Linked DNA regions of Stegostoma tigrinum. The protein of the gene in region 1 purifies or fractionates together with the protein of each later gene. This does not show direct contact. Links are inferred from orthologs where the notes say so. Each region holds a gene or a part of one and is shown on either strand. Other genes may lie near its edges. The genes, in order: ap2s1, itsn1, ralbp1 and aak1b.

The links.
Region 2: the proteins of ap2s1 (region 1) and itsn1 purify together in Homo sapiens (co-immunoprecipitation; 3 studies listed by BioGRID and IntAct, counting the BioPlex papers as one, with this or other methods). This does not show direct contact. The link is inferred for Stegostoma tigrinum from reciprocal best matches to the Homo sapiens genes AP2S1 and ITSN1.
Region 3: the proteins of ap2s1 (region 1) and ralbp1 purify together in Homo sapiens (co-immunoprecipitation; 3 studies listed by BioGRID and IntAct, counting the BioPlex papers as one, with this or other methods). This does not show direct contact. The link is inferred for Stegostoma tigrinum from reciprocal best matches to the Homo sapiens genes AP2S1 and RALBP1.
Region 4: the proteins of ap2s1 (region 1) and aak1b purify together in Homo sapiens (affinity purification with mass spectrometry; 4 studies listed by BioGRID and IntAct, counting the BioPlex papers as one, with this or other methods). This does not show direct contact. The link is inferred for Stegostoma tigrinum from reciprocal best matches to the Homo sapiens genes AP2S1 and AAK1.

What each region holds. Positions count from the first base shown.
Region 1 is NC_081392.1:11,809,189-11,816,626, reverse strand, and holds the start of ap2s1 (AP-2 complex subunit sigma), read right to left. Parts: upstream 3,021-7,438; 5' UTR 2,839-3,020; coding exon 2,836-2,838; intron 1-2,835. UniProt on the Homo sapiens protein: Component of the adaptor protein complex 2 (AP-2). Adaptor protein complexes function in protein transport via transport vesicles in different membrane traffic pathways.
Region 2 is NC_081365.1:20,945,883-20,953,144, forward strand, and holds the start of itsn1 (intersectin-1), read left to right. Parts: upstream 1-4,246; 5' UTR 4,247-4,490; intron 4,491-4,600; exon of another isoform or gene 4,601-4,677; intron 4,678-7,262. UniProt on the Homo sapiens protein: Adapter protein that provides a link between the endocytic membrane traffic and the actin assembly machinery. Acts as a guanine nucleotide exchange factor (GEF) for CDC42, and thereby stimulates actin nucleation mediated by WASL and the ARP2/3 complex.
Region 3 is NC_081358.1:114,693,913-114,701,794, reverse strand, and holds the start of ralbp1 (ralA-binding protein 1), read right to left. Parts: upstream 3,007-7,882; 5' UTR 2,891-3,006; intron 1-2,890. UniProt on the Homo sapiens protein: Multifunctional protein that functions as a downstream effector of RALA and RALB. As a GTPase-activating protein/GAP can inactivate CDC42 and RAC1 by stimulating their GTPase activity.
Region 4 is NC_081393.1:6,533,624-6,540,696, reverse strand, and holds the start of aak1b (AP2-associated protein kinase 1), read left to right. Parts: upstream 1-4,057; 5' UTR 4,058-4,422; coding exon 4,423-4,618; intron 4,619-7,073.

The DNA.
Region 1 (7,438 bases):
GTGAGCTTTTTTAATCATCAGGATAAGAGATGAGAAAATAAAACTTTTTCATTTTTGAAACCTAGCATTAGCACCAACTGACCCAGCCTGCATCAGCTGTGACTGTAGCAGGACACTTCTAAAGCATTCCCATTCTATGACTCCCTATTGACTGACAGTCAGCTTTGCGCTCTTAGTCTTTGGGAACAAGGTTAAAACTCACCATTCTAACCTGTAATGAGAATACTTAAATTATATTAGACTGAGCAAGACTTGTACTTGTATCTGGAGATAAAAGATAAAGTGGTATTACTTTAACGACAATCCCAAAATATTCTGGAATATAGTTACCCAAGCTGCTGAAGTATATTGCGAAAATGGCCTCCATTTATGAAATATATGTCCCCAGTGTAAATTCAAAATAAATCCAGGTAAAATGAATGATTTTATTCAAAATGTCTTCAGCTATACAAATAAAATTCATACTCCATTCTGAAAAAATTTACAATCTATTATCAAATGCAACCCCATAGCAGATTTAACACTATAGAAAATGTTGCAAGGTCGAATGCCTCTTAAACAGCATGTGGTTGTATCTACACTAAATGGATTTCAGTAGTTCAATGGGGCAGCGCACCACCATCTAAAGGGCAACTGGTGATGTGCAATGCTCAACCAGTAACACCCATACCTCAATTTTTCCTTATAGGACAACTTCTTCATCCCAGGTACCAGATATATCAAACAGTGATTGACCACATCCACTTGAAAAAAACTTGGGAATAGGACATAGCCCAATTTATTCTTAATTTTTGTAACTGGATGGAAGAAAATGCAGAATTGCCCCAGAAATGAGAAGAAATCCAAGGGCAATAATTTGAAAGCAATGTAGATATTCCAACTGAGTGCACATATGGTATGGGACAGAAGACGCAATGCATACAGATCAACTGTAAGCCACATAACAAAAACCCTTTGCCTAGGTCCCATCACATTGACAGAGAATTTAAGATTATAATCATGATTACTTTGCCATTTCAAGGAATGCAAAGGAATTGTGAAGGTAAGAGGTCTGACAATTCCCCAGATGTAGCTTGTTGATCTCTGGTAATTCCTCAGAGGGGATGTTTTCCTTAGGGATAGAGGAAAATCAAATATTTTACTGAAATGCAAAACTACACAATTCCTACATTTGGTCACAGAGCAAGGAAGATGTAGGTTGCCAACATGCTTCATCAGTTTGAAGCTCAAATGCACACTCTCATATATACAGGGGCCCATCCTCTGCAAACAAAAAGAATATGCTCAATGCTTGTGTCGCCTTTGAATTATCTGTAAGATCAGGGAACCTGTCATATCTTCATTGCTTTCTTCATGGCAACACCTGACTGTCAGAATCCACTTTCTATCCAATCAACACCCTTTTCTCTTGAAATATAAATTGCTGTGGCTGCTGTCATTCCTTTGACCTTTCAAATTCTATGCATCTGTCTCCTAAATTGAGGTATCCTTGCCTATGCTTTAAAGTAATTTACACATCTTTGTACTGTTTCTAAATCTATTAACTGGTTGTTAATTCAATTACTTGCTTCTTTGTGAAAATAGCAAACACTAGAACTTTTCACGTAATATCATTAGTTTTTCCTACCGAAACATTAAATTTAGTTTATTTCTTGCGAGATACCCTGAACATATGCAGATCCAAAGGAAGTCAAGTTCTTGGTCCTAAAATTTAGAGGTATGGTCCAGTTCCAAAACACTAACTGGTCTTCTTCAGATGCTCTCTCAAGATGATCCATAAAATTGAGAGGGAAAGAAACAAATTTGCATGTCCTCCCTTATTTTATGGAAGCATAACTAAAGTATCAGAACCAAAATAAAAAAACTCAGAATAAATCAATTTTATCATGGACCTGTTAGATAAATTTGTTCCCTAAAAACAAAACCTAATGCACATTTCTAGCATTTGGTATGCATTTCGGATTTACAAAGCAAATGTAAAATCAAAACATTTTCACCCTAACAGGACCATACCCGGGTTTACACTCCATCCAAGGTTCCTTCAATCCTTTCTTCTCTAACCCCCTCAAAAGATTGTCCTATTCCTTTTGTCCTCGCATTTTTATGAACTTCAGTTAAATTATTCTCAGCTATGCCTTATGAAAGTGACACAAACAGAAACTGCTGGCAAAACTCAGCAAGTCTGGCAACATCCCTGGAGAGAAATCTGAATTGTGTCCAGTGACCCTTAGAAACGTGAGTTTAACGTTTTCACCACTCTCTGGGCCAAGTCATTTTCCTGTTGGATTTATCAGTGACCACCTTATCTACATATGGCCCACGTGACCTGGTCTGAGCAATATGTAGAACCATCTTCTCGAAATCTGCCCTGACAAAACCTTTCACATTTATGAAGAACCTTACCAGGTCGTCCAAAGCTTTTTTTCTTCTCTGGAGAAAGCAGCCCCAAACCTGTTCAGTTTTTCCTGATAGTTGAAACCTGTCAATTATGGCTACCACCTTCAAAAAACTGCTCCTTTGAAAATGCAAAAGCTCAATTATACCTGTACCATTTTTGACTTTTACGACATAAAAACACTCAGTGGATGCTTTAAGCAAGGGAAAAGCGACAAGGCCTCTATTTCACGATAAGTATTCACTCTGTGGCTGTAAGATACCAAAGCAAACATTTCAATCCTAAGGTTTGCCTTTTTGAAGAATTACCCACCTTTTGTTAATTCATTTGCGTTATTTTTATAATTTACAGAAAACCCTTCATCGCTGGGCTTACGTTAGGCCTCATCCTACATTCAATCTATTTCGAAATGGGGAAATTAAAAAAAGATCACTACTTACCATTACGACTCTGCTTTTTGGGTGTGGTTTTCTTTTTATAAAAAGCTGTGTTTTATGGGAGTTTATTTCTTTCCCTTTGCCGGGACATATGATATTTTATTTCAGAGGGGACACTTTTTTTTCTCCCTTTCAGTCACCGCTGACTGTCAGAACCCGCAGCCCACCACCGCACATGCGCTAGCCTCACCCAAGGCACGCTGGGGAATGTAGTTCTTTCCATCCGCGCCCGGCCGTTTCCTCCTCTCTTTCCCAATAACACCACAATTCAAATCTATCACAATGCGTCCCTTTTGGAATGCTAAGGAAATATTTTTCACCGGGAGATGTTACTATAAAAACACAAACGAAGTCCCAGGTCACGAAAATGACTCTCAAGTTTGTCTCTTGATTCTAGCCATGTTAATCAAGCCTAGCAGTGACTCATCGACATTTAGATGTCTCACTAATCGAGGAATACGATTGCATTACAATTCATTGTAATGCTGAGTGAATTAAATAATGCAAAAGCTGTATACAGCTAGGGAGATGAGACTACAATTCCCGGCACCCTCGGTCACACCCAACTTCCGATCCGGCGCTGTCGCCTTCCACATCCCTCAGCTCCACCACCACCCTCAGAGCCGCCGGAGGCCTACAACCTAACGTGCTGGATGGACGCCGAACCTGATTGACGTGATCAATGTCCAATGGAATCCGAGTCTCCTTGGAGATTGCCCAATGGAAGCCTAGAGAGGGTAGGCGGGGATTTAAAAAAATGAAATCATCAAGCTTGGTTGGGAAAACAAACGACGATGGTGGAGGAGCGAGGGGGAAGGGGGTGAAAAAATGTACTCATTGTCGTGAGGCCAGTTTTTTAAAGTATTATTTTGAGGGGGATAGTTGAGGCGGCAATTTTGAGTGAAAATCGGGCGGGGCCTATCGAATGGTGTGTGCGGAGGTGGATTTTTGTTGATGTTTGACTAATTGTTTGACGATCGGGAAGGAGGAGGAAAGAAAAATATATTTGTCTCTTGGAGGAGGAGAGATCACCTGACCCATCGAATCACTGCGCCTCCATGGCGGCCTGAGAAGCATCATGGGCGATGTCTACTCCTGGGGGGAATCTAGCAGCAGCAAAGAGAAAAAGTTGTTGAAGGGAACGAGTACGGAAGAAATATCCGCCATTTCTGTCCGGTCATAGATTTGCAAGAGGAACGAGAGCAAAGAGAAAGCAAAAGAGAGGGTTTGGGGAAAAAAACCACATTACTTTAATCCACATACATTCCCTATCCTCCAAATCTGTCCTGTGATTCCTTAGGAAAACAAGATGTCTGCTGACCATAAATTTTAAGATAGACCCAGGAACAAACCTGTGTCTATTATTTGCCTCATCTTGTGGAAAGAAAGCAAAGGTAGGGAGATGTTTTATTTTCTTTCTCATCTCTCACGTTTCCATCTACAATCTCTTTTTCTTCCCATTGAGTGGATCTTTAATTTGTATTCTAAACCTGCTCTTTCTCTCTGATTTTGGCCTCCCAGCATTTATTTCGTTGGAAATATTTCGGGGGAATTTTTGCTGGTGTCTTTTGGTTTGTACATGTATTTTGAGAGCAGTCAATGGAATAAAATTTTTTAGACTACTTGATGTGGTTGAGTAATCCATGTGTCAATACGTGTTGAAGAACTAATTTCATTTTTTCATTGTTAAAACATATAAAAATGAATGACACCTTTCTCTTCCCTGAATGAATGAATTTTAACAATTAGTAGGATTATGTAAGGAAAGTTTAGAAAATGTATCTGTTTCAGACTTTTGTTTGCATTTTACGGTGTTAGTTTTTAATTGCTTGGGCATATTGCTGTCACCTCTAACATGCAGCACCTAGAATAATTTAAAATGCTTTTTGCAGAAAAAAATGTTTGAGCAGCTTCAAGGCAATCTAGTTTTAAGAAAGACTTAAAACTCAATACGTATACAAGTGATAAAGATATAACTGTGTCCGGATAATGGATTATTGATTAATTTTGAATATTAAGTTCTCATTCTATTTATTCCATTCCTAAAAGTTGAGAAGGGTTAGATGCTGAAATAGAAGGAAAAAATTGTTTTGGCTTTTTTTAAAAAAAAGTGAATGGGCTTGTTTCTTTCTCTTTCTGTTTTTTTTTCAGTTAAAGAGCATGTATGTGCTGACATAAAACATAGTACGTTCACGGATGTAGTGATTTCTGCTTTTAATGAGCATGGTGCACTCTGTGTTTAAGCAGTGACTTCAAGTCTACAAACTCTGTCTGAACCCTCCTCCCCCTTTTTGAATATATGTGGAATATGCCTTGACATGTTGGTATCCATTGCGTTAAGCACATGTTTGTGGTATGCATCCAAAAGAGTGACTTCTGGTTTATTATATCGAAGTATACTTTTATGGGCTGGGGTGAGGGGAATTGTTTATGTTCATGATTCAGTGAACTATGGTGGAGGGATTCTCCAGATTGTATTACAAGGCATTAAGAGATCAGAATTGGAGTGATATTATAAACTGAGTTCTTCTGTCCTTTTACAAAGGTTTCTTTAATCCACCCATCTACTGCATTATTTTTAGACAGTGTTGCCAGTAAGATCTAATGGAGTGAGTGTAATTTAGCCCCCTCCAAATTTAATTATAATTTTTCTTGAGCTGACCAACTTATGCTTATCAGTTACCAATTCGCCATCAGTGCCAATAACCTAAGTAACTGTATCAAAACCCCCTCACGATTTTTGAGCTGTTCCATTGATCTTAACATGACAAAATGGAAAATCCTGTGCGTGTAAGGTGCCAGTATGAAAGCTGTAAACTTAATGTAACCAGTTAGGCCCAGGATTCGTGGCTTGTGGTGAGTAAGCCATCCTTAGTCATGATAGTAGCTGCCCTTCTAGGGGGCAGAGGTATATTCAGGTAGTTTCACTGCTGCTTTTCAATGAAACATGGGTGTGCACAGACGTGAGCGAGGAAAGCTTCAAGGTTCAGTTGTGATGATTGCTGTGAATGGATAGGCTGCAGAAGTTCCCTGGCGAGTTTCATGCATCTGGAATGACCTTGTTAGCAGCCGTAGAACCGTGCCCTGTAAGAATTGGAACTGTATATTTAATGAATTAGATTTCATTTATTGATGTTTTTCTATTCTGTTTGCCGTTAACCTCTGGATCCCTTTTTATTTTTGTCGCTTTTAACTTAGAATGTGTCTCTCTCTCTCACTTTTTCTTCCTCCTGCCTCTGAAAAATTACACTGACGAATGTTTATGCAGCAGGAATTGCAGACATGAGCCATCTTCCAATTGCAAGAGGCTCTGTTCCATTCTGAACTATAAATCATTTGTAATCTTCAAAGATCAATCTTGGCATTTTCTCATGTTGATTTCTGTAATGATTTTATCTTGATCTTCATATTTTTAAATTCTTGGAAGTTAGAATGTGAAAAATCAATTAGACCAAATAACCTTGCAGCAGTGTATATAATTTTTGAAAATACTGCAATAAATTAATATGAAGGCCAATGAATTGCTTTAAAAAATCATTCACAGATCAGAATTTTAATCACTATTTGAATTTAAAACAAAGAATTAATGGTAGTTGTTTCTGATGGGTTGCATGAAGACACTCCGCATTACAGCCTGCAGAATTTTCTCCTATATGATTTCTTGATTATCACCTTTTTAGCCAGGAGGGATTGCTACCTGACAAATACGGCATTACCAAGGGACTTGGAAGAGGGTTTAGGTGCAGAAATCAGTGTTGTCTCTTCTGCTGTTTCACCTGCTAAGAATGGATTCCCAGGGGTGGACAGGTCGCCTTCTTGCCTTCGAGGTTTGTGGTGACTGTGACTGAACTTTGCCATGATGATAACACTGCAGTTTGCTACTGTCGCACATCCTATTAATAAAACTACTTTCTTGTATTTCCAAAAATTGAATGTATCCATCTCTATTTCCCACTACCACATTGTTACCACCCACTCACCTCCCATGCATTGCTGCTAAATCACCTAATCTATACCTCCTACCTCAAATTTCATCTGTCTCCTGCTGAGCCCAAAGTCCTCAAATCAACAGCTTAATCCTGATCTTCAGTACTCTTCACAAATAATTGATGTAGAATGTCACAGCGCAAGTCCTTGTCTGTGGACTACTCACAATGTGTGTTCATGTTCAAGTTTGGAGACTGTGTAAAAGAACAGAATTAAATCTGCATATATTATAGGTTAGAACTCCAGCTAGTGAACTGAAAAGTGAGCTAGTAGTTTTTTATTCTGGAGTTTAATACTTGAAACTAAATTTTTTTTGAAGGACTCCATCATTCCCATGTAATATCACTTAACATGATGCCATTTTAAATGTATTGTTGAACCATATGAATTTTTGAGCACTGTATTTCAGATGCATGTAATATTTCCACGCCATCATGCAGGGGAGGTGACGGCCTAGTGGTATTATCACTGGACTGGTAATCCAGAGACCCAGCAGAGCAATGGTCAAGTTTAAGTTCAGTAAAAATCTGGAATTGTGCCTGCTGATTACCAGGCCTACATGTGAGTCCAGGCCCACAGCAATGTGGCTGACTCGCAACTGCCCTTTAGGCAATTAGAG
Region 2 (7,262 bases), on another chromosome or scaffold:
TTCCAGGTAATCTTTCATATTCTACATTCTCTCTTTAGTTCTTTTAAGTCACTTGTTGCTGGTTTTTACATTCAGGCCAATTTTCTGATTTGTCCATCTTCATGGAATTATATGCCTCTCCGTTCAACTTGATCATGTTTTTCTGTGACTACGATATTTAAATGGTTGCCACCTGATTCAAAGTTATATTAATACCCTTAGTTCCATGTTGCTTCTTCTGGATAACTGCCAAGATAAAGAACAGAGCTAGTACATTTACAGTCCAGTCACAGGACTGAGCACAGATTAATCTCATTTACAGGCCACTTTGTCAATGTACATCGACAAAGACAACAAATTTTTTTACTGCGCGTAGCAGCAATTTAAAGGGCAAATATAACATCGATATCACAAGGAAAACCATCACATTCAAAGCAGCTAGCCAACTAAGCAAGGATAGGTAAATGTTTCATACATTTGTGAACATATGAAGTAATAGCAGCAGGAGGGGTCCATTTGGTCCCTTGAATCTGCTATATTATTCGATCATGGCTTATCTAATCCTCGCCTCAAATTCACTTTCTTGCCTGTTTCCCAAAAACTTAGGTGGATATTGAAGAGAATACAGTTCATTTCTATCAAAAAACCCATCCACTTATTTCAGCTAGGGCAGCTGAGTGAGTAGCAGCTGATAACAGAATTCAGCTAACTGCCACAAAACTATTTTTAAAAGAATGACTACAAACTACTGGATTTCACCCATGTTTTGGCCAATACCTATCTCTCAAGCTACGTCTGTTCATCATTTCATTTCTGCTTCTGATCTCTCTCTCTCTCCCTCTATGCAACTTTCTCATTGCTAGAGAGTTGGAAGTTATGCCTTGATATCATGATGCACAGGCCCCAAGAATATCCTCAAATGGTAGGATAATGTTGGTGTGCCTCTGCACCATTCTCAAGCCATCGAAGCTAACTAGCCCATCTTATGGGTATTTACATTCACAAATTGGCTGCCGCAGTTTCTAACAACATCATTTCGACAGCAGAGTGGTGTAGTAGAAATGTGCTGAGTCCATAGTCCATCAAAATCATGCTCTACTAAGTGCTCCCGAGTTGTGATGGTAGCATCCAGACCTCTGTACCAGAAGGTCCTGGTTCAAATTCCACCTACGCATGGCATGTGTTCCAACATGCCCGAACAGTTGAATAAAAATATTTATTAGTACGGCACTTCTGAGATACTGGATTGATTGCTGAAGAAATACAATTTCTTCTTTCTGTTCTACTAACTTCACCAATATTCTGTTTCACCCAACTCAAAGTTGAGTAAATTTCAGAGTTTCTTTTCAGATCCTGTTGTATTCCTGCTACTTAAATCTGTAACTACCAAAATCATTTCCCGGAATCTAAATTCTCTTTAACTGTGACGGCCTTGAACACCAATGTCAAAGTCCACTCCCATTCTGACAAGTTTTATCATACTCAAAATATTAACTGTTTCTGCTTCCAGATACAGAGTCATAGAATCTTTCCAGTGTGGAAACAGGCAAATCGGCCCAACAAGTCCACACTGATCCTCTGAACAGCATCCCACCCAAACCCAGACCCAGACCCCCTACGCTGTAACCCTACATTTCCCATGGTTAATGCGCCTAACCGACATATCCATGAACACTATGGGTAATTCAGCACGGCCAATCCACTTAGCTTGCACAGAATAATACAGCATGAAAACAGGCCCTTTGTTTTAATTTGTCTGTGCGACCAAGTTTCCAAATTTAAACTAGACCCACTTGCCTGCATTTGGCCCATATCTCTCTAAACTTTTCTTATTCATGTGTGTCCCCAAATGTCTTTTAAAACATTCTAACTCTACCTGCATCTACCACTTCCTCTGGCAGTTTATTCAACATACAAACCACCAGCTGTGCAGAGAAGTTGTCCGTCAGGTCGCTTTTAAATCTTTCTCCTCTCATCTTAAAAATATGCCCCCTAGTTTTGAACTGCCTGACCCTAGGGGAAAGATCATTGCTATTCACCTTATCTAAGCCCCTCATGATTTTATAAACCTCTATCAACCTCCTACGCTTCAGGGAAAAAGTTCCCAGCCTATCGAGCCTTCCCTGTAACTCAAAGCCTCCAGTCCCAACAACATCCTGGTAAATCTTTTCTGAGCCCTCTCCACTTTAATAATATCCATCCTATTGCATGCCAACCACAAGTGTACACAGTCCTCCAAAAGTGGCCTCACCAACAGCCTCAACATGATGTCCCAACGCCTATAATCAATGGTCTGAGCAATGAAGGCAAGCTTGCTAAATGCCTTAACTATCTTGTCTGCCTATGATGCAAATTTCAAAGAATTATGTACCTGAACCCCTAGGTCAATCATGTTCTAAAACAGAACCCAGGGCCCTTGTTCATCTTACTGAAATGCAACACCTCACATTTATCCAAATTAAACTCCATTTGCCACTCCTCAGCCCATTGGCCCAATTGACGGAGATGCTTTTGTAATTTCAGATAACCTTCTTCAGTCGACTATACCACCAACTTTGGTGTCATCTCAAACTCACTAACCATGCCTCCTAAATATTCATCCAAATTATTTGTATAAATAACAAACAAAAGTGAACCCAGCACTGACCCCTGGAGGAGCACTGCTGGTCACAGGCCTCTAGTCCAAAAGTCAACCCCTCACCGCCATGCTCTGTGGCCTACCATCAAGTCAACATGCTGCCAGACCTGATATATTTCTCCAGGACTTTATTATTCCACTCTCATTCTGTTTCTCAGAAATGTACAAGGTAAACAATCTTTCATTATAACTGAGACATATAAGTTCATGAATCAACCTCACAGTCCTCTGCTAACGTATATAATGTTTCGAATGTGATGATAAGTGAACAAATTACTCTGAAGAGTCTCACCAGGACAAAATAAAACAATGTGACACCCTTATAAATCACATCATTTGGGGAAAACATGGGGATTTGCCTTCATCACTATCTGTAGAAAGTAAACAATTAATACAAGCAGTTTGAAAAATAAAAACATTTGCCTTTTTGAGGTTTTTTGTTTAGCCATGCAGAACCTACACATTAGATTGTCAGGCTAAATAACAAAACTTACATGATGCTACAACATTTATCTTGAAACTAAAGGCCAGGTACAAAAAAAAAGTCTCAAGAAACGTTGAGAATACTAATTATTGTTTCATGGGCAATTGTATACAACAAAAACGTTCTTGGAATACAACATTTTGCATTGATAATTTGAAACAAACGACATGGCGGCTGGTCGCTCAGTCGTTAGTATTGCTACTTCACAGCTCCAGGTCGAGAGTTCCATTCCACCCTCGGGCGACTGTGTTGAGTTCTCCCCCTGTCAGCGTGCGTTTCCTCCCACAGATGTGCAAATTAGGTAGATTAGCTATGCTGAATTGACCATAGTGTCCAGAGATATGTAAATTAAGCAGGCGGATTAGGCATGGGAAAGGCAGGATTACAGGGATGGGGTGGATGTTCTTTGGAGAATCGGTGTGGACTTGTTGGGCCGAATGGCCTGTCTCCACACTGCGGATATTCTACGACCAAGACAACAGTGTGGAGCTGGAGGGACAGGTCAGGTAGCATCAGAGGAGAAGGAAAGTTGACGTTTCGGATCGGGACCCTTTTTCAGAAATGACCTAAATACTTTGTGTACAAATAGAAACAGGATAGGGAAATACAATACTTACTACTATGGTCCTTACTCCATCCACTCTATTTAATCTTTTAAAACATATGCTTTAAAAATAGCACTAATAATTGCTTCAATACGGTTGGAGTAGTGAGCTTTTATAAAACCGAGAAAGGAGCAGCGGTGACAGGTGAAGTTAAATGTCTACCTTCAATTATAACTTAAGCGCCCATCACAGCCAAAGCGTCGTCACGGGCACGGAGTCAACCTAACCCGATGACACATCAACAGCAAGCACCGCCCACCTGCTCACACCCTGTTCGTTGCTTCCGGCAGGGCGACATGAACATGCGCGCTCTCTATGGTCACAACGGCTGTCACTCAAATGGGCCGCCACGCTGCGGAAAGCAACGAGTTAGGTCGAGGGGCAAGCAAGGCGGATTTTCCAGGGGGAGGAGCAGCTTCACAGGACGCTTGCCGATTGGATCACCCAGGGATGGACGGCGCCGCGTTCTTCGATAGGACGCTATTCCTGTCAGTCAACGAGTTTGCGGTGAGTCGTTTCCGTTTGGCTGCGCGGGCGCGTTGGGTAACGTACGGCTTGGGGGGGCGGGGAGAGAGAGAAAGGAGAAAGAGTGAGTGCGTTAGTTTCAGACACTAGGCAACGGGCGGAGAGACAGACGTAGACGCAAGAGAGAGAGAGGCGGCTCCTTGTCTCACCCACACCCAGTAGCCGGCAGATCGAAAGGATATCTCTACTCTTGGGGGGTGGTGAAGGCCGTGGAGCCGCCGCTGGGGAGCGACCCTCCGCCGGCGCTTTCCGAGATGAGGTAAGCTGCACGGTTTGTAGCTCCTGCAATGGCTCTCCCTACAGCCAAAGGATGACTGCCTCCTGTTATTTCAGGCACTGCTTGCTGCAGGCATGTCTCCCTTTAATACACACTGTGGTAACTCACCGCTGCTCAGCCTTGAGCAATCTGCCTTTTGAAACAGACGCTTTGCTGGCAGACCTTAAAAGTAAGAGGAAAGTCAGTTACCGTGGAGGGAGGTGCGGAGAGTTTGATGAGCTTATTTGCTGCATGTTGTAGTCGAAGTGAATTTTTTTTTCGTTAATTACCTGGCTTTTCGTTTGGACCATGCATTGATTAAGAGTAATGGGGGTGAAGATTATTTTATTCCCTTTGCCTCCCTTTCCCCTTTCTAGCTCCTCTGTTGCAGGGCGGATTGGTCACAGGGAGATGGGAATAATAAGTGTAATCTGATACAAGTGTTTTTGGATCATTACAAGAAAGGAGGGTCGTATTCGTTTTCTACCACATTACCGATCCTTGATATCAAGTGTATTATTTGCTACAGGACGTTTATTTTGTGAAATTGTGAAGAGTAGGGCTTGAAACCCCGAAGTATTGTAGATATTTCTGCCGTTTTAATGAAACATATGGAGCCACATTTAAATCAGACTACGAAAAATCCAAGCCTACTGTTTGATTTATGCTATTTGAAGATGAGGGAATAAACGAATGAAACAAGAGCATTAAAGGTTTGGATGGTTTCTAAATTCGCGGTCGGTTCGCGGCCATTCCAATACTTAAAAAAAATCTTTCATATGGTCTAAAACAGCCTGATCCTCTCTGTTAATGAAACACAATCTAAACGTTAGCAAAGCTAGCTGTTTGTTGAAATTTGGTAGTGATTGTCATTTTGAAGATGTTGTTTGTTTTCAGTGGAATCTGAAATTTTAACGTTGTATCGAATAGATTATAAATTATGAATTTTCAGCAAAATAGCCAACCACCTTGAGATTTTTGTAGAATGTAGAACAGTGGTCATTAATCATGGTGATGCAACTGACAATGTAACCTGGCAAGTCTTAGCAAATAATCAACTGTACAGTATGATTTATTCTATAGTAATATTTTGACTGAGTGGTAATGAAATTGGAAGATTTTGATGCAATGATTTCGAATAGATCTGTAATCAGATTATTTTGCATGTGATAACATTGTGTGCATGCTTATTTGCATGTAGTTATATTCAGTAAATTGCAAAAGAAAAGCTTTATCATGTTGGTAAAAAGGTTATGAAATCTAAACTTTGACATACAGTGTTCTGAGTTTTAACACAAAGATACTTGTTTCTAATAGTTCAAATAAAATTAATGTAGAGTGCACAAAACATTATTTTACAATTATGTTTTTAAGTGAGATTTTCAAGTGTTGTGTGAACCAAGTAAAGTTTCCCTAGGAATCTTGTGTTTTTTTTAAGTATTAATACTGAAAAATTCTTTCAGACCGTAAGTATAACAACAGAATTAGGCCATGTGGCCCGCTGAATCTGTTCCACCATTTGATCATGGCTGATGTGTTTCTCTTGCCCATTCTCCTGCTTTCTCCCCATACCTTTGATCCCCTTTCTGATCAAGAACCTATCTATCCCTGCCTTAAATAGACTTAAAATGACTTGGCCACCACAGCCTTCTGCAGCAATGTATTCCGCAGATTCACCAGTCTCTGTTTTGAAGAATTTCCTCCTCATCACAGTTCTAAAGGATCGTCCCTTAAGTCTGAGGCTGTGCCCTTCGGCTCCAGTTTCTCCTAATGGAAACATCATCTCAACGTTCACTCTATTCGGGTGTCTCAATATTCTGTAAGTTTCAATGAGATCCCACCTCATTTATATAAACTCCACGGTCCTCAACTGCTCTTCATATTGACAAGTTCTTCATCACGGGGATCATTTTGTAAACCAACTCTGGATCCTCTCCAAGGCCAGCATATCCAACCTTCCAAACAGGGCCCAAAGCTGTTCACTATTCCAAAAGTGGTCTGACCAGAGCCATCTGTAACCTCAGCAACACCCCTCTGCTCTTGTTTTCTCGCCGTCTTAAAATTAATACTAACATTGTGTTTGTCTTTCTAACTGCCAAGTGAACCTGCGTATTAATCTTCAGAGAATCCTGAAGTAGAATTCACACCCGTTTGTGTTTCAAATTTCTGAAGCATTTCCCCACACACAAATCCGTCTACGCCTCTATTGTTCCGACCAAATTGTGAGAGCTTGCACTTTCCCACATTGTCTTCCAGCTCTTGGCACTTACTCGCATTGATTTTGTAAACATCAGGAAGATAATCAAATCAGTTTTGGGCTGCACGGTGGCACAGGTTAACACCGCTGCCTCTCAGAGCCAGGGACCTGGGTTCAAGTACTGTCTCAGGCAACTGTCTGTGTGGAGTTTGCACATTTCTCTCTGACTGCACCGGTTTCCTTCCACAGTCCAAAGACACGCAGGTTACGTGATTGACTGTGCTGAATTGCCTTTTGTGTGCGGGGATGTGCAGGTTAGGTGGATTAGCCATGTGAAATAGGTTATAGGGGTCGGATAAAGGTGGGTCCGTGTGGATGGCCTGCTTCCACACTATAGGGATCCTATGATTTAATCCAAATCTTTGCGTATGAACTAAGTACAATTTTAAATTGCAAGTCCGAAAGCCAACTGAAAACATTTCAGTTAAATGCGAAGTTCCATCCTACTACTTGCAATGCTTAAGCACCACAATGATTTTACTAACCTTGCTTCACACATCGTTTTGTAGCCTTCATTT
Region 3 (7,882 bases), on another chromosome or scaffold:
CTAACCAACGTATGACTCGAGACCCACAGCAATATGATTGACTCTTAACTACCCTCTAAATTGGTCCAGCAAGCCAGTCAGTTCCTAGGCAATAAATGCTGACCTATCCAAAAATGCCCCATTCCAGGAACTTTTTGTTAAAGTGAATTTACATAGCATCTTTCACTGAATAAAACATCTCAACATGCATCCAATAGACATTCTAAAACAAACTGTGACACTTAAGCCATGCAGGGAGCTATTAAGGCAAATAGCCAAAGGCTTGGTCAAACACACAGGTTTAAAAAGAAAATAAGGTAGAGAGCCAAACAAGTTTGGAATGGGAATTCCAGAACTTAAAATCTAGGGAGATGAAGCCCAGCCACCAATGTTCAAGTGATTTAATTAAAACAAAGTACAGTTAGGTTTTAGGACAGAAAGATTAGATAGGATTAGATAGGAAGACAGACCAAGCTATGGATAGATTTGAAAGCAAGAGTTAGAATCCTTGATTCTCAGACAGCATTCTGTTCAAATGGCACCAGATTCAACATCTTCAATACTCAATCCTTTCATCACTGACACACAATGGCAACAGTATGTACTGCTGTAATTCAACAACATTGAGTTTAAAAAAATTTCATCTTGGATCTAAGTGGCATCCCCTTTTTTTTTTAAATTCTGCCATCTGACTCTGGATTCTCCAGCCAGGGAAACATCTTAGTGCACTGACACTGTTTATCCCTTTAGCTATGTTACAAATTTCAAATTTCAAATCTCCCTTTTTGAAATTAGAGAATACAGGCTGTTTCTCAATTTCCCTTCACAGGACAGTTCCACAATCCTGGGAACAAATCTGGTGAGCCTTTCTACATCCACACTTTCCAAATACTTACCTTTTAAATTCTGCACAGCTGGTTTCCCTACCAAACTGGATAACTTCATATTTTTCCACATTATCTTTCATTTGCCATGTTCTTGACCATTCACTGTGCAAGTCCTCCTGAAGCTGTTTTACATCTTCCTCATAACATATATTCCCACGTAACTTTGTATCCTCTGAAAATTTAGAAATATCACATTTGGTCCACATCTCCAGATCAATGATACATATTGTGAACAGTTAGGGCCACAAGTACATCCGTCTCCTGGACTTAAATCTTCTCGCCAAGTAATTGAAAAATATTCCTGCTCATCCAATATTGGATCTTAGATAAGCAATGACAATTTACAGACAATGGAGAGAGGTTTACATGGCTGAGTATCACTGTGTACTCTTATAAATTGGCTTGGTTTTGGAAGACCTAACAGTGGGGAAGCATAGAAATGAGGTGGTGGTTTTAGAAAGGGCAGACCAGAGAGTAAAGGGATGTAGCTCACTCTACCAATCAAGATCAAAAATTAGCCATAACGGATGGCATACCAGTTCAAAATGGTAGCTCTGTTTCTCTCTCAACAAATGCTGTCAGACCTGCTGAGTTTCTCTGACATTTTCTGTTTGTTTCAGAAATCAGTCAGGTTAGGAATCTATGGTACAAAAACTGAAACTCAGCAGGTCTGACAGTATCGATGTGACAAAGCAGACTTAACATTCAAGTGAATCAAACTCTTCAGAGGAACCAACTGGTAGCAGCTTGTGATAATATTAAAGTGCTTTAGCACAGCAGATTCCAAAATAGTGCCTGATACACACATCATAACATCACACACAAGAACAATTTTTGTCTAAAGCATATTTCATATATCATTAAAAATCAAGGTGATTGGAAAAGATTAGTTGAATAGAAAAAGTAACAAATCCTGAAGTGCTGAGGACATTAGCAAAACATAATTCAAAAATCATTCAGAGACTGGTCGAGGCTCATCTTAAGTGAAACTAGTTAGGATTGAGCTCACTCTGCCATTGTTTTAGCCACTCATTTCATTTTTAGCAATTAATGAGACACAACAAAACAGTAACTGCACTAATACCATCTCAGATCCCAAACACGATAAATTTCAAGGCACTCTCTCAACAGACTGCAAGATCCTAACCCCAAACTCCAACTTGACAATACCGAACTGCAGCAGTAATAGTCAGAAGCGACATTTCAGTAAATTCACTACATATTCGGTGAAACTGTCAAATAGGCTCTTTTTCTACCAACAATGCATTCCTCCCCAAGTCAGTCATTCATTCTTTACTGCTGTGGAAAGACGAGATATTTTTCAGCTACATTTGCAGCGTGAAAAACAGATCACAAGAATCCCAAATCAGCCCCATGCATCACACACAACTGCAAAACACTGTTTCGAGTAACTGGCTTTTTACTTATGAAGTAAATAGACGAGTGAAACAGCCGGCAGCAGTGTGCAAATGAAGTAAATAGCAAGGATTCTGTTCGGTTATTTGTTAAAAAAAACCGTGCATTTAAACTCTTCTCTCCCCCGTCCACTTTAAAACAGTCTGGTTTAGTATCTAGGGTGGAAGATAGAAGGAGGAAAGGTTACATCAAATGTAAAGAAAAGGATCCAGATTGCAGCTGATAGCCATAGTGAGTGCTATAAGGTGGAGGACTCTATAGGAAGGGGTTTTAATCTGGAAATTAATAACACGGTGCTAGGGAGGGGAACAAATGCGCCCCGGACCACAGAGTAGTATCGCTAGCGCTCCGGGGAACTGTATGGGATCGGGATGCCCCTCTCCTAGGGTTGGGGGAAGGGAGTACGGGTAAGATCGCCGCGGGGTAAGTCATCCTATATCAACAAGGTCTTCTGCTCCCTCCCGGCCACGGCCTTCTTTCCAAATCAAGGCCGGTGATGCCAGCGAGGCCTAATCTACGGTCTTCGCTCCTTCCGTTCACATCACCTCTGGACTTCAATATTTGAAAAAAATACCGGCCTCCATGAAGGATAAATCCTGCACCTTTACCTCATCTTAGAGCAGCCCCGATCCAGGAATCGCAGCTCTGATCCTTGGCGACATACCAAGCCGCCACCGGCCGCGGCCCTGCAGCTGCTGGACGGGAGAGGAGGGGCCCACAGGGCTCGGCGTCGCTGCGCAGGCGCCAGCGTGCGAGTTCCGGCTCGGGCGTCGCTGCGCAAGCGCCAGCGTGCGAGCTCCGGCTCGGGCGTCGCTGCGCAGGCGTCAGTGTGCGGGCTCCGGCTGGGCCACTGTGCGCAGGCGCCAGCGTGCGAGCTCCGGCTCGGGCGTCGCTGCGCAGGCGTCATCGTGCGGGCTCCGGCTGGGCCACTGTGCGCAGGCGTCAGTGTGCGGACTCCGGCTCGGGCGTCGCTGCGCAGGCGCAGAGATCGAAGCGTCTTGCAGCCTTCGGTCACGTGACCTTTCTCGACTGGATCCTGGGACGAAAAAAAACCAGAATTTGCTGGAAAAGCTCAGCAGGTCTAACAGCATCTTGAGGAGAAAATCAGAGTTAACGTTTCGGGTCCGGTGACCTTTCCTCAGAACGCGTGGGAGAGAGGTGTTCAGCCTCCCACAGTTATCATTTCGATGTATCAAAACGTCCAAGCAAGCAGTTTTAGAGAGAACAAGGTGTGGAGCTGGATGAACACAGCAGGCCAAGCAGCATCAGAGGAGCAGGAAAGCTGATGTTTCGGGCCTAGACCCTTCATCAGAGGGAGGGGAGAGGAAGGGAAAAGGAGAGGAAGGGCAAGCAGTTTGTGTGTTGCACCTCGTTCAGTTCCTATCCAAGCGAAGGTGATGGCTTAGTGGTATTATTGCTAGATAATAAATCCAGAGACCCGGATAATGTTTTGTGGACCCACTTTGAAACCATGACAGAGAGTGGAATTTAAATTCAATTTTTAAAAAAACCTGGAGTTAAGAATCTACTGATTAAAAATCATTGTCAACTGTCAAAAAAGCACACCTGGTTCACTAGGTGTGAACGTTTCCTTTCCTTTCAGGGAAGGAAATCTGCCATCCTCACCTGATCAGGCCTACATATGACTTCAGACCCACAGCAATGTGGTTGGCTTTCAGTTACCCTTTGAAATATCCTGGTAAGCCATTCAGTTGTACCAATCACTCCAAAGTCTCAAAGAAATGAAACCAGATGGATCACCTGGCATCGACCTAGGTTACAGAAAAGACAACAGCAGAAACAGCCATGTCGACCCTGCAAAGTCCTCCTCACTAACATCTGGGGATTGGTGCCAAAATTGGTAGAGTTGTCTCACAGACTAGTTAAGTAACAGCTTGACATAGTCATACTCACAGAATAATACCTTATAATGTACCAGATATCACCATCCCTGGATATGTCGTGTCTTACTGGCAGGACAGACCCAGCGCAGTGGTATACAGTTGGGAGGGAGTTTTACTCTAGATCCCATGAAGTCACATGGCTTCAAGTTAAATACAGGCAAGGAAACCTCATACTGATTACCACCTACTGTCCTCCCTCAGCTGATTGAATTGGTACTCCTTCATGTTGAACAACACTTAGAGGATGGCAAGGGCACAAGATATACTCTGGGTGGGGGATTTCAATGTCTACCACCAAGATTGACTCAGTAGCAGCAACACTGCTGGCTGGGTCCTAAAGGACATAGCTGCTAGACTGGCTCTGCAGCAGGTGGTGAGAAAACTAACAAGAAGGACAAATGCACTTGACCTCATCCTTACCAATCTGCCAGCTTCAGATACATTTTTCCATAACAGTATCGGTAAGAGTAACCACTTGTGGAGATGAAGTCCAGCCTTCAAATTGAGAGTAACCTCTCTGTTGTGTGGAACTTTCACTGCTAAATGGGACAGACTTCAAACAGATCTAGCAACTCAAGAATAGAGGCACTGTGGGCCGTCAACAGCAGCAGAATTTTACTCCAGAACAATCTGTAACCTCATGGCCCAGCATATCCCCCACATAACCATTACCATCAAGCAAGGTGATCAACCCTGGTTCAATGAAGAGTGCTGGAGGGCATACCAGGCATACCTGAACATGATGTGTCAATCTGGTGAAACCACCAAACAGGACTGCATGCATGCCAAACAGCATAAACAATATGTGGTAGACAGAGCTAAGCGATCCCACGACTAATGGATCAGATCTAAGCTCTGCAGTCCTGCTACATCCAGTCGTGAATGGTGGTAGACAATTAAACAACTCACTAGAGGAGGAGGCTCTCCAAATATCCCCATCTTCAATGATGGAAGAGCCAATCCCATCAGTGCCAAAGATACAGCTGAAGCTTTCAGAGTAGTCTTTAGTCAAATGTGCTAAGTAGATGATTTTTCTCAGCCTTGTCCTGTCATCCCCAGCATTACAGATACCAGTCTTCAGTCAATTGGAATCACTCCACATGATATCAAGAAACAGTTGGAGGCACTGGATACTAGACACTACAGACCCTTACAACATTCCAGCAATGGTACTGAAGACTTGTCCTTCAGAACTTGTTGCACCCCTAGCCAAGCTGTTCCAGTACAGTTACAACACTGGCATCTACCCGGCAATGTAAATAATTGTCCAGGTATGTCTTGTACGTGTAAAGCAGGACAAATCCAACCCAGTCAATTCCTGCCCCAGCAGTCTATTGTCAATCATCAGTAAAGTGATGGAATGTGTCATCAACAGTGCAATCAAGCAGCACCTGCTCAGCAATAACCTGCTCAGTGACGCCCAGTTTGGATTCTACCAGGACCACTCGCATTTTGACCTCATTACAGCTTTGGTTCAAACATGAGCAAAAGAGCGGACTTCCAGAGGTGACATAGGAGTGTCAGCCGTTGACATCAAGGCTTCATTCGACTGAGTGTGGCATCGAGGAGCCCTAGCAAAACTGGAGTCAGTGAGTACCGGGGGACAGTTAGAGTCATACATTACACATAGGAAGATGGTCATGGTTGTTGGGGGTCAGTCATCTCAGCTCCAGGACATCTCTGCAGGAGTTCCTCAGGGTAGTGTCCTAGGCCAGACCATCTTCAGCTGCTTCATCAATGGCCTTCCCTACAGCGTAAGGTCCAATGTGGGGATGTTCACCGATGATTGCACAATGTTCAGCACCATTCGCAACTCCTCAGACACTGAAGCGGTCCATGTTCAAATGCAACAAGATCCGGACCAGATCCAGGTTTGGGCTGACAAGTGGCAAGTAATATTTGTGCCACAAAAATGCCAGGCTATGACAATTACCAATAAGAGACAATCTAACCATCGCCCCTTGGCATTGAATGGTTTTGCCATCACTGAAACCTCCACTGTCAACATCCAGGGCATTACCATTGCCCAGAAACTCAGCTGGACTCATCACATAAATACAGTGGCTACAAGAGCAGGTCAGAGGCTAGGAATACTGCAGTGAGTAACTCACCTCCTAACTCCCCAAAGCCTGCCCACCATCTACAAGGCACGAGTCAGGACTGTGATGGAATACTCCACGCTTTCCTGGATGAGTGCAGCTCCAGAACACTCAAGAAGTTTGACAGCATCCTGGACAAAGCAGACCACTTGGATGTGAAACACAAGCATTCACTCCCTCCTCCACCAATGCTCAGTAGCAGCAGTGTGTACAATCTGCAAGAAACACTACACATTTATCAAAGATCCTTTGACAGCACTTTCCAAACACATGACCACTTCCATCTAGAAGGACAAGGGCAGCAGACATATTGGAACACTGCCAAGTTCCCCTCCAAGCCACTCAGCACCTTGATTTGGAAATATATCGCCGTTGCTTCACCGTTGTTGGGTCAAAATCCTGGAATTCCCTCCCTAATAGCATTGTGATCAACCAACAGCAGGTGGACTGCAGTGTTTCAAGAAGACAGCTCACCACCACCTTCTTAAGGGGCACCTAGGGATGGGTAAGAAATGCTAGCCAGTCAGCGATGCCCACATCCCACAAAATAAATAAACAAAAAAAGAGAATTCCCTGCAGCTACATCTCTGTAATCTGTCCAAATCATGATGAAATTCACTTCAGATAATCAGAGGAAAGACTCTAATCATGGCCATCTTAATGCTTCAAAGCGAAAGAAGAAACTGCATCTAATTTCAACACATTTCATGTCCTTTCACAGTCATGAACAAAGTGTTTGGTCATCGAGAGAATGAAGAAAATGAAAAGAAATTCGATAAGAAATGGTTTCCTGATTTGTAACTGAGTTTCATCTCTTCTTGGGCGTCAGCTAGCAAGTCACTGGGGAAAACATTTACACCCACAGCAGTGGAATCTTTAAAATGGGTAGGAAACGATTTAAATTTCATGGAAGGAATCAGCAGTGTGGAAAGGGACTGCAATGTGGAAACAGTAAACTGCACATTCTGCTGCAGTGTATCATGGAAGGAAAGATCAAAATATTCACCTCCTTACTTCCCACTGCAATGACCATACCCAATGCCAAGGAAGGGTAGTATGAGGAAAATATGCTTTGTCAAAAAATTACTGAGGGACTGGATAATTTCACAGAAGAATCAGAGCGCCCATTGAAATAAGTATTTGTGTCAAAATAGAACAAGAAGCCTTTGTTTTAAAAAACTATCATCTCCAGATCTAGTCAATAAAAGCACCAATTTTTTACCACACAACCCAGCAGCTGATCTCAGCTGGAATGATCCAATTATCCTCAGTGCAAATGACATACAAAAGGAAACAGTAAAAACTCTATAAGACCATAAGAAGTAGAACACTCAGCCCCTCAAGCTTGCTCCTCCATTCAGTAGGATCATGGCTGATCCAACATTCCTCACGTTCATTTTCATGCCTTTCCCTTTTAACCCTTGATTCTCCTACTGATCAAGAATCTATCTGCCTCAGCTTTAACTATACACAAGGAGTCTGCCCCCACAGCTTGCTGTAGCAAGGAATTCCAAAGACTCTCAACCTTCTGAGAGAAGGAATTCCTCCTCATCTCAGTCTTAAATTGGCACCGCATTCTTAAGTCAAGTTATTCTTA
Region 4 (7,073 bases), on another chromosome or scaffold:
AGGTTTGCCACTGCAACACAGGTGTGTTTAAACTAAGTAGTCGGTGGTGGTGCGGGGGGGGGGGGGGGGGGGGGAACAAACTGGAAATTTAAGAATGAAGTTAAAGGGAAAGTCAGAATAAGAGAAGTTAAGAAAGACAACAGAATCAACGGAGCAGAAAACTCAAGGGATCGTACAGTATGGCCAAATGAAATAGTGATTGATAGGAAGGGTAAAAATTAAAAATATTACACATGAATGCACAAAGCATAAGAAATAAGGCGGATGAGCTCGAGGCTCAGTTGGAAATTGGCAAGTGCGGTGTTGTGGGGATAACTGAGACGTGGCTTCAAGTGGACAGGGCCTGGGAAATGAATATTCAAGGCTATACGTGCTATCAAAAGGACAGACTGATGGGCAGAGGGGGTGGGGTGGCCCTATTGGTGAGGACTGATATTCAGTCCCTTGCAAGGGGGGACATAGAATTTGGAGATGTAGAGTCAGTATGGATAGAGCTGAGAAATTCTAAGGTTAGAAAGACCGTAATGGGAGTTATCTACAGGCCCCCAAACAGTAGTCAGGATGTAGGGTGCAAGTTGAATCAGGAATTGAAATTGGCCTGTCACAAAGGTATCACTACAGTTGTTATGGGAGATTTCAACATGCGGGTAGATTGGGAGAGTCAGGATGGTACTGGACCACAAGAAAGGGAGTTTGTGGAGTGCCTCCGAGATGGATTCTTAGAACAGCTTGTACTGGAGCCTACCAGGGAGAAGGCAATTCTGGATCTGGCGTTGTGCAATGAACCGGATTTGATCAGGGACCTCGAAGTAAAGGAACCAGTAGGAGGTAGTGACCATAATATGATGCGTTTTAATCTGCAGTTTGAGGGGGAGAATCGGAAGTGTCAGTATTTCAGTTAAATAAAGGGAACTATGGGGCTATGAGGGAGGAGCTGGCCAAAGTTCAATGGTACAATACCCTAGCAGGGATGGCAGTGGAACAACAATGGCAGGTATTTCTGGATACAATGCAGAAGGTGCAGGATCAGTTCATTCCAAAGAGGAAGCAAGATCCTAAGGGGAGGTGGGGCGGCTGTGGCTGATGAGGGAAGTTAAGGACCATATAAAGATAAAAGTGAAGTATAACATAGCAAAGATGAGCGGGAAGCTGGAGGACTGGGAAGCTTTTAAAGAGCAACAGAAGATAACTAAAAAGGCAATACGCAGAGAAAAAAATGAGGTACGAAGGAAAACTGGCCAAAAACATAAAGGAGGATAGTAAAAGCCTTTTTAGGTATGTGAAAAGAAAAAAAATGGTTAAGACTAAAATTGGGCCTTTGAAGTCAGAAACGGGTGAATTTATTATGGGGAACAAGGAAATGGCAGAAGAATTGAATAGGTACTTTGGATCCGTCTTCACTAGGCAAGACGCAAGCAATCTCCTAGATGTAATAATGGCTGAAGGACCTAGGGTAATGGATGAGCCGAAGGGAATTTATATTAGGCAGGAAATGGTGTTGGACAGACTGTTAGGTCTGAAGGCTCATAAGTCCCTGGGACCTAATGGTCTGCATCCCAGGGTATTTAAGGAGGTGGCTCTAGAAATCGTGGACGCATTGGTAATTATTTTCCAATGTTCTATAGACTCAGTATCAGTTCCTGCGGATTGGAGGGTGGCAAATTGAAAGGAGGGAGAGAGAAAAGAGGAAATTATAGACTGGTTAGCCTGACGTCAGTGGTGGAAAAGATGCTGGAGTCAAATACAAAAGATGAAATTACAACTGATTTGGATAGCAGTAACAGGATAGGTCAGAGATGGATTTACGAAGGGTAAATTGTGCTTGACTAATCTTCTGGAATTTTTTGAGGATGTATCTATGAAGATGGACAAGGGAGAACCAGTGGATGTAGTGTACCTGGACTTTCAGAAAGCCTTTGGTAAAGTCCCACATAGGATATTGGTGAGCAAGATTAGGGCACATTGTATTTGGAGCAAAATACTGACTTGGATTGAAAATTGGCTGGCTGACAGAAGCAAAGAGTAGCGATAAATGGGTTCCTTTCGGAATGGCAGGCAGTGACCAATGGCGTTCCATGGGGTTCGGTGATGGGACCGCTGCTGTTAACGATATACATTAATGATATAGATGAAGGCATTAAAAGTAATATTAGCAAATTTGCTGAAGACACAAAGCTGGGTGGCAGTGAGGAGGATGTTATGAGAATACAGGGTGACTTGGACAGGCTAGGTGAGTGGACGGATGCATGGCAGATGCAGTTTAATGTGGATAAATGTGTGGTTATACACTTTGGTGGCAAGAACAGGAAGGCAGATTACTATCTACATGGAGTCAAGTTAGGTAAAGGAGAAGTACAATGAGATCTAGGTGTTCTTTACATCAGTCAATGAAAGCAAGCATGCAGGTACAGCAGGAAGTGAAGAAAGCTAATGGCATGCTGGCCTTCATAACAAGAGGAATTGTGTATAGGAACAAAGAGGTCCTTCTGCAGCTGTACAGGGCCCTGATGAGACTGCACCTGGAGTACTGTGTGCAGTTGAGGAAGGACATTCTTGCTATTGAGGGAGTGCAGCGTGGGTTCACAAGGTCAATTCCCGGAATGACGGGACTATCATATGTTGAAAGATCGGAGCGACTGGGCTTGTATACACTTGAGTTTAGAAGGATGAGAGGGGATCTGATTGAAACGTATAAGATTATTAAGGGATTGGACACTCTGGAGGCTGGAAGCATGTTTCCGCTGATGGGCGAGTCCAGAACCAGAGGACACAGTTTAAAAATAAGGGGTAGGCCATTTAGAACAGAGTTGAGGAACAACTTCTTCACCCAGAGAGAGTGGTGGATATATGGAATGCTCTGCCCCAGAAGGCAGTGGAGGCCAACTCTCCGGATACTTTCAAGAAAGAGATGGATAGAGCTGTTAAAGATAGTGGAATCAAGGGTTATGGGGATAAGGCAGGAACAGGATACTGATTGTGGATGATCAGCCATGATTATAATGAATGGTGGTGCTGGCTCTAAGGGCCGAATGGCCTACTCCAGCACCTATTGTCTGTAAGGCACCCGTGCTTTTTTTTCATCTATTCATCACGAGTAAATCATTTCTCCCTGTTAACTTACATGCAAAGCCCATTTTGTTTTTAGTGATATCCAAAAGTGTCTTTGCTCTTTAACACCATTGTGCAGGTTGACTCCCCGAACCGGTTTTGTTTTGTTTTGTTTTAAACCAATTAACCACCCAATGTCAACTTTTCCCCCAATGACTTTACATCCAAAGCACAGATGCATATTTTTAACTTATTTTTTCATCATTTCAGAAGTACTCTTTAAAATGAAAGGGTTTGGTCGCCCTCGCTAAATCACCCGTGTAATTTTTATCATCGATGAACCACTCGTTGGGTTTTCCAACTGAGTAATTTACAGAGCAAAGCCGTATGTAGAGAGTTGAAGATAACAAAATGTGAGGCTGGATGAACACAGCAGGCCCAGTAGCATCTCAGGAGCACAAAAGCTGACGTTTCGGGCCTGGACCCTTCATCAGAGTTGAATGTGTATTTAGAATATCCAAGTTTTTTTTTCTACGGTGATAATTTTAACAATTCCCAAATCTGACCTGCTGCCCACTCGCTGAGGAGAAAACCGTCGAGCCCGGCAACTGACAACGGGCAACGAATGCCGGGAATTGGAGCCCCGCCCGAGGCCGGAAGTCATGCGTGGCCGCAAAGTGCTCTGGGAACTGTAGTACAGTCGCCAGCCTTTGGCTCATCCAACCTTGACTTTATAAACTACAATCTCCGTCAGGCCTCTTCATAACATTCCGCACCACCGTCAAATCCCACACGCATGCGTACAAACTCCTGAAAAATAAACAGTTAAAAGGATTCCGCCGATATTTTCTTACCTTCCCCCCCGCCCCCTTACAACGAACGAGATTTTGATTTGTTTCTTCTAACATTTAACGACGTCTTTTCCGTTCGGCCGGGACTCCGGGTCCGTTCCGAGGGGCGGGGGGAGGAGAAAGAAGGAGGAGATCGAACCAATCAGCTGCGCATCCGGGTCACGGCGCGTTGTGTCTCCCTTCTTTGGGTCCGGCTTTCATGTCGGCGTTAACGACAAGAAAAAAAAGGGAGCCGGTTGTTTTTTCTGGTCCGCCCCGTTATTCCCTCCCCGTCTCTTCACTTTACCACCCCCACCCCCTCCAGCCCAGTTACCGGGCCGGCTCGGCGGTGGAAGCAAGGCCCGGTTTTTAAACCCTCGGTCGCTCGATCGACTATCATTTTCGTTGCCGTTATTACCGTGACACCACGTACATTTAAAAAATATATATATCGAGATTGTTCTATTTTGCCCGGCCGCGCGGGTCGGTGGCGGGGCGGACACAGACAGAGACAGAGACAGAGACAGAGAGTGATCGCCGAGTGATGAAGAAATTCTTCGACTCCCGGCGGGAGGCGGCGGGCTCGGGTTCGGGAGGCGGCGGCGGCGGCGGTGGAGGTGGAGGAGGAGGAGGCGGCAGCAGCGGCGGGGGCGGCGGCTTATGCCCCGGCAGCGGCTTCATCGGCCGGGTGTTCAGTGTGGGCCGGCAGCAGGTCACTGTGGAGGAGGTGGTGGCTGAAGGTGAGGAGCGGCCATGGACCGTGGGGGATGGAGGCAGGGAGCCGTGGCGTTGACAAGTGTTGAGGGATGGCTCTGCCCCTTCAGCACCGGTGATCCAGCATCCCCAATGATACTAAGCCCGCCACCCCAATATTACTGATACTGAAAATCTGCGACTCTAGTTACAGGTCCAGCATTCCTAATGTTACTGATCCTGCCATTTCAGCATCAGTGATCCAGCATTCCCAGTGTTACTGATCCTGCCATTTCAGCATCAGTGATCCAGCATTTCCAGTGTTACTGATCCTGCCATTTCAGCATCAGTGATCCAGCATTTCCAGTGTTACTGATCCTGCCATTTCAGCATCAGTGATCCAGCATTCCCAGTGTTACTGATCCTGCCATTTCAGCATCAGTGATCCAGCATTTCCAGTGTTACTGATCCTGCCATTTCAGCATCAGTGATCCAGCATTCCCAGTGTTACTGATCCTGCCATTTCAGCATCAGTGATCCAGCATTTCCAGTGTTACTGATCCTGCCATTTCAGCATCAGTGATCCAGCATTCCTAATGTTACTGATCCTGCCATTTCAGCATCAGTGATCCAGCATTCCCAGTGTTACTGATCCTGCCATTTCAGCATCAGTGATCCAGCATTTCCAGTGTTACTGATCCTGCCATTTCAGCATCAGTGATCCAGCATTCCCAATGTTACTGATCCTGCCATTTCAGCATCAGTGATCCAGCATTCCCAGTGTTACTGATCCTGCCATTTCAGCATCAGTGATCCAGCATTCCCAGTGTTACTGATCCTGCCATTTCAGCATCAGTGATCCAGCATTCCCAATGCTACTGATCCTGCCATTTCAGCATCAGTGATCCAGCATTCCCAGTGTTACTGATCCTGCCATTTCAGCATCAGTGATCCAGCATTCCCAATGCTACTGATCCTGCCATTTCAGCATCAGTGATCCAGCATTCCCAGCCTTACTGATCCTGCCATTTCAAAATTACTGATCCTGCCATTCCACTGTTGCCGATTCAGCAATTTTGGCATCGATTATCCAGCGATCCCAATATTTCGGATCCTGCCATTTCAACATCCGGTATTCCCAGTGCTACTGATCCAGCAATTTCCAACATTATAGATCCTGCCATTTCAACACCCAGCATTCCTAGTGTTAGTGATCCTGCAGTCTGACTGTTGCTGACCCAGAACCCCAACATTGTGGATCCTGCCATTTCAACATCAGTGATCCAGCATTCCCACTGTTAATGATCCTGCAATCCCACATTTGCTGATCCAGCAAATTTAGCATCAACTATCCCTCAAGTTGAAACTAGTCATCCTACATTTATAACATTAATTATCTGATATTCACATTATTTCACATCCAGCTATCCTACTTTAATGATCCAGCAATATCAAGATTACAAATCAGCAGCAATATCAATATTTCTGACCTTGCAATCCCACTATTACAGATCCTGGAATTTCAACATTTTTGCTTTTTGAGATCCCACCATACCACAGTTACTGTTCCAGTAATCCTACCTACTATTACTGATTTTACAATCCCACTATAGCTGATCCAGCAATCACACTGTTGTTGATGCTGTAATCCTACGATTACTGATCCTGCAATCCCAATACTTCTAATCTTACGTTCTAAGTATTACTACTGATCCTGCATTTACATTAGTAGTGATCTAGCAATCCTACTTTTATATATGGGCTATAATTTCAACGTTATCAATACTGATTCAGCAGTTCCAAAATTAATCATGTGCCCGTCCCAATTCTGTGATTTCAGTATAATGTATCTTGCATTTTCAAGACTGATCCAGCACTCTCTATTATTGATCCTGCAATTTTAAATATTATGATCCAGCAGTTCTGATGTTACTGGTCTTGTAATTTCAACAAAACAGATCCTGCAATTTCATCAATACTGAAACAGAAATTTCAAAATTAATGATGTGCAAATCCCAATACTGCTATCTCAATATCACGTGTTCTGCATTCTCTATAATAATCAAACACTCCCAATATTACTGATTTTGCATTTTTAAGTGTGATGACCCAGCAATGCCAATTTCCTGCAATTCTATTATCACTGATCCTATATTTCCAAAATTGCTGATTGTACATTCCCAATATTACTGATCTTGAAGTCCCAGTTCTGAGTTTGGATTCCCAACATTACTGATTCTGCAATCCCAAAACCATGTTTTAAATCTCAGTTTGACCGATGCCTCAATTCCAGTAGCAGTGATCCAGAAATCTCAGTACCCATCCAGCAATTCCATTGTTACTGATCCTATAACTCAATGTTATTGATCCAGCAATCCTACTATTATTAACACAGCTATCTGAAGATTACAGACCCAATAATCCCAATGTACTGGATATCTCATAAATGGTCCCAAAATTGCTTCATTAATTAATCTTATTATCAAGACTAAAGTAATATCA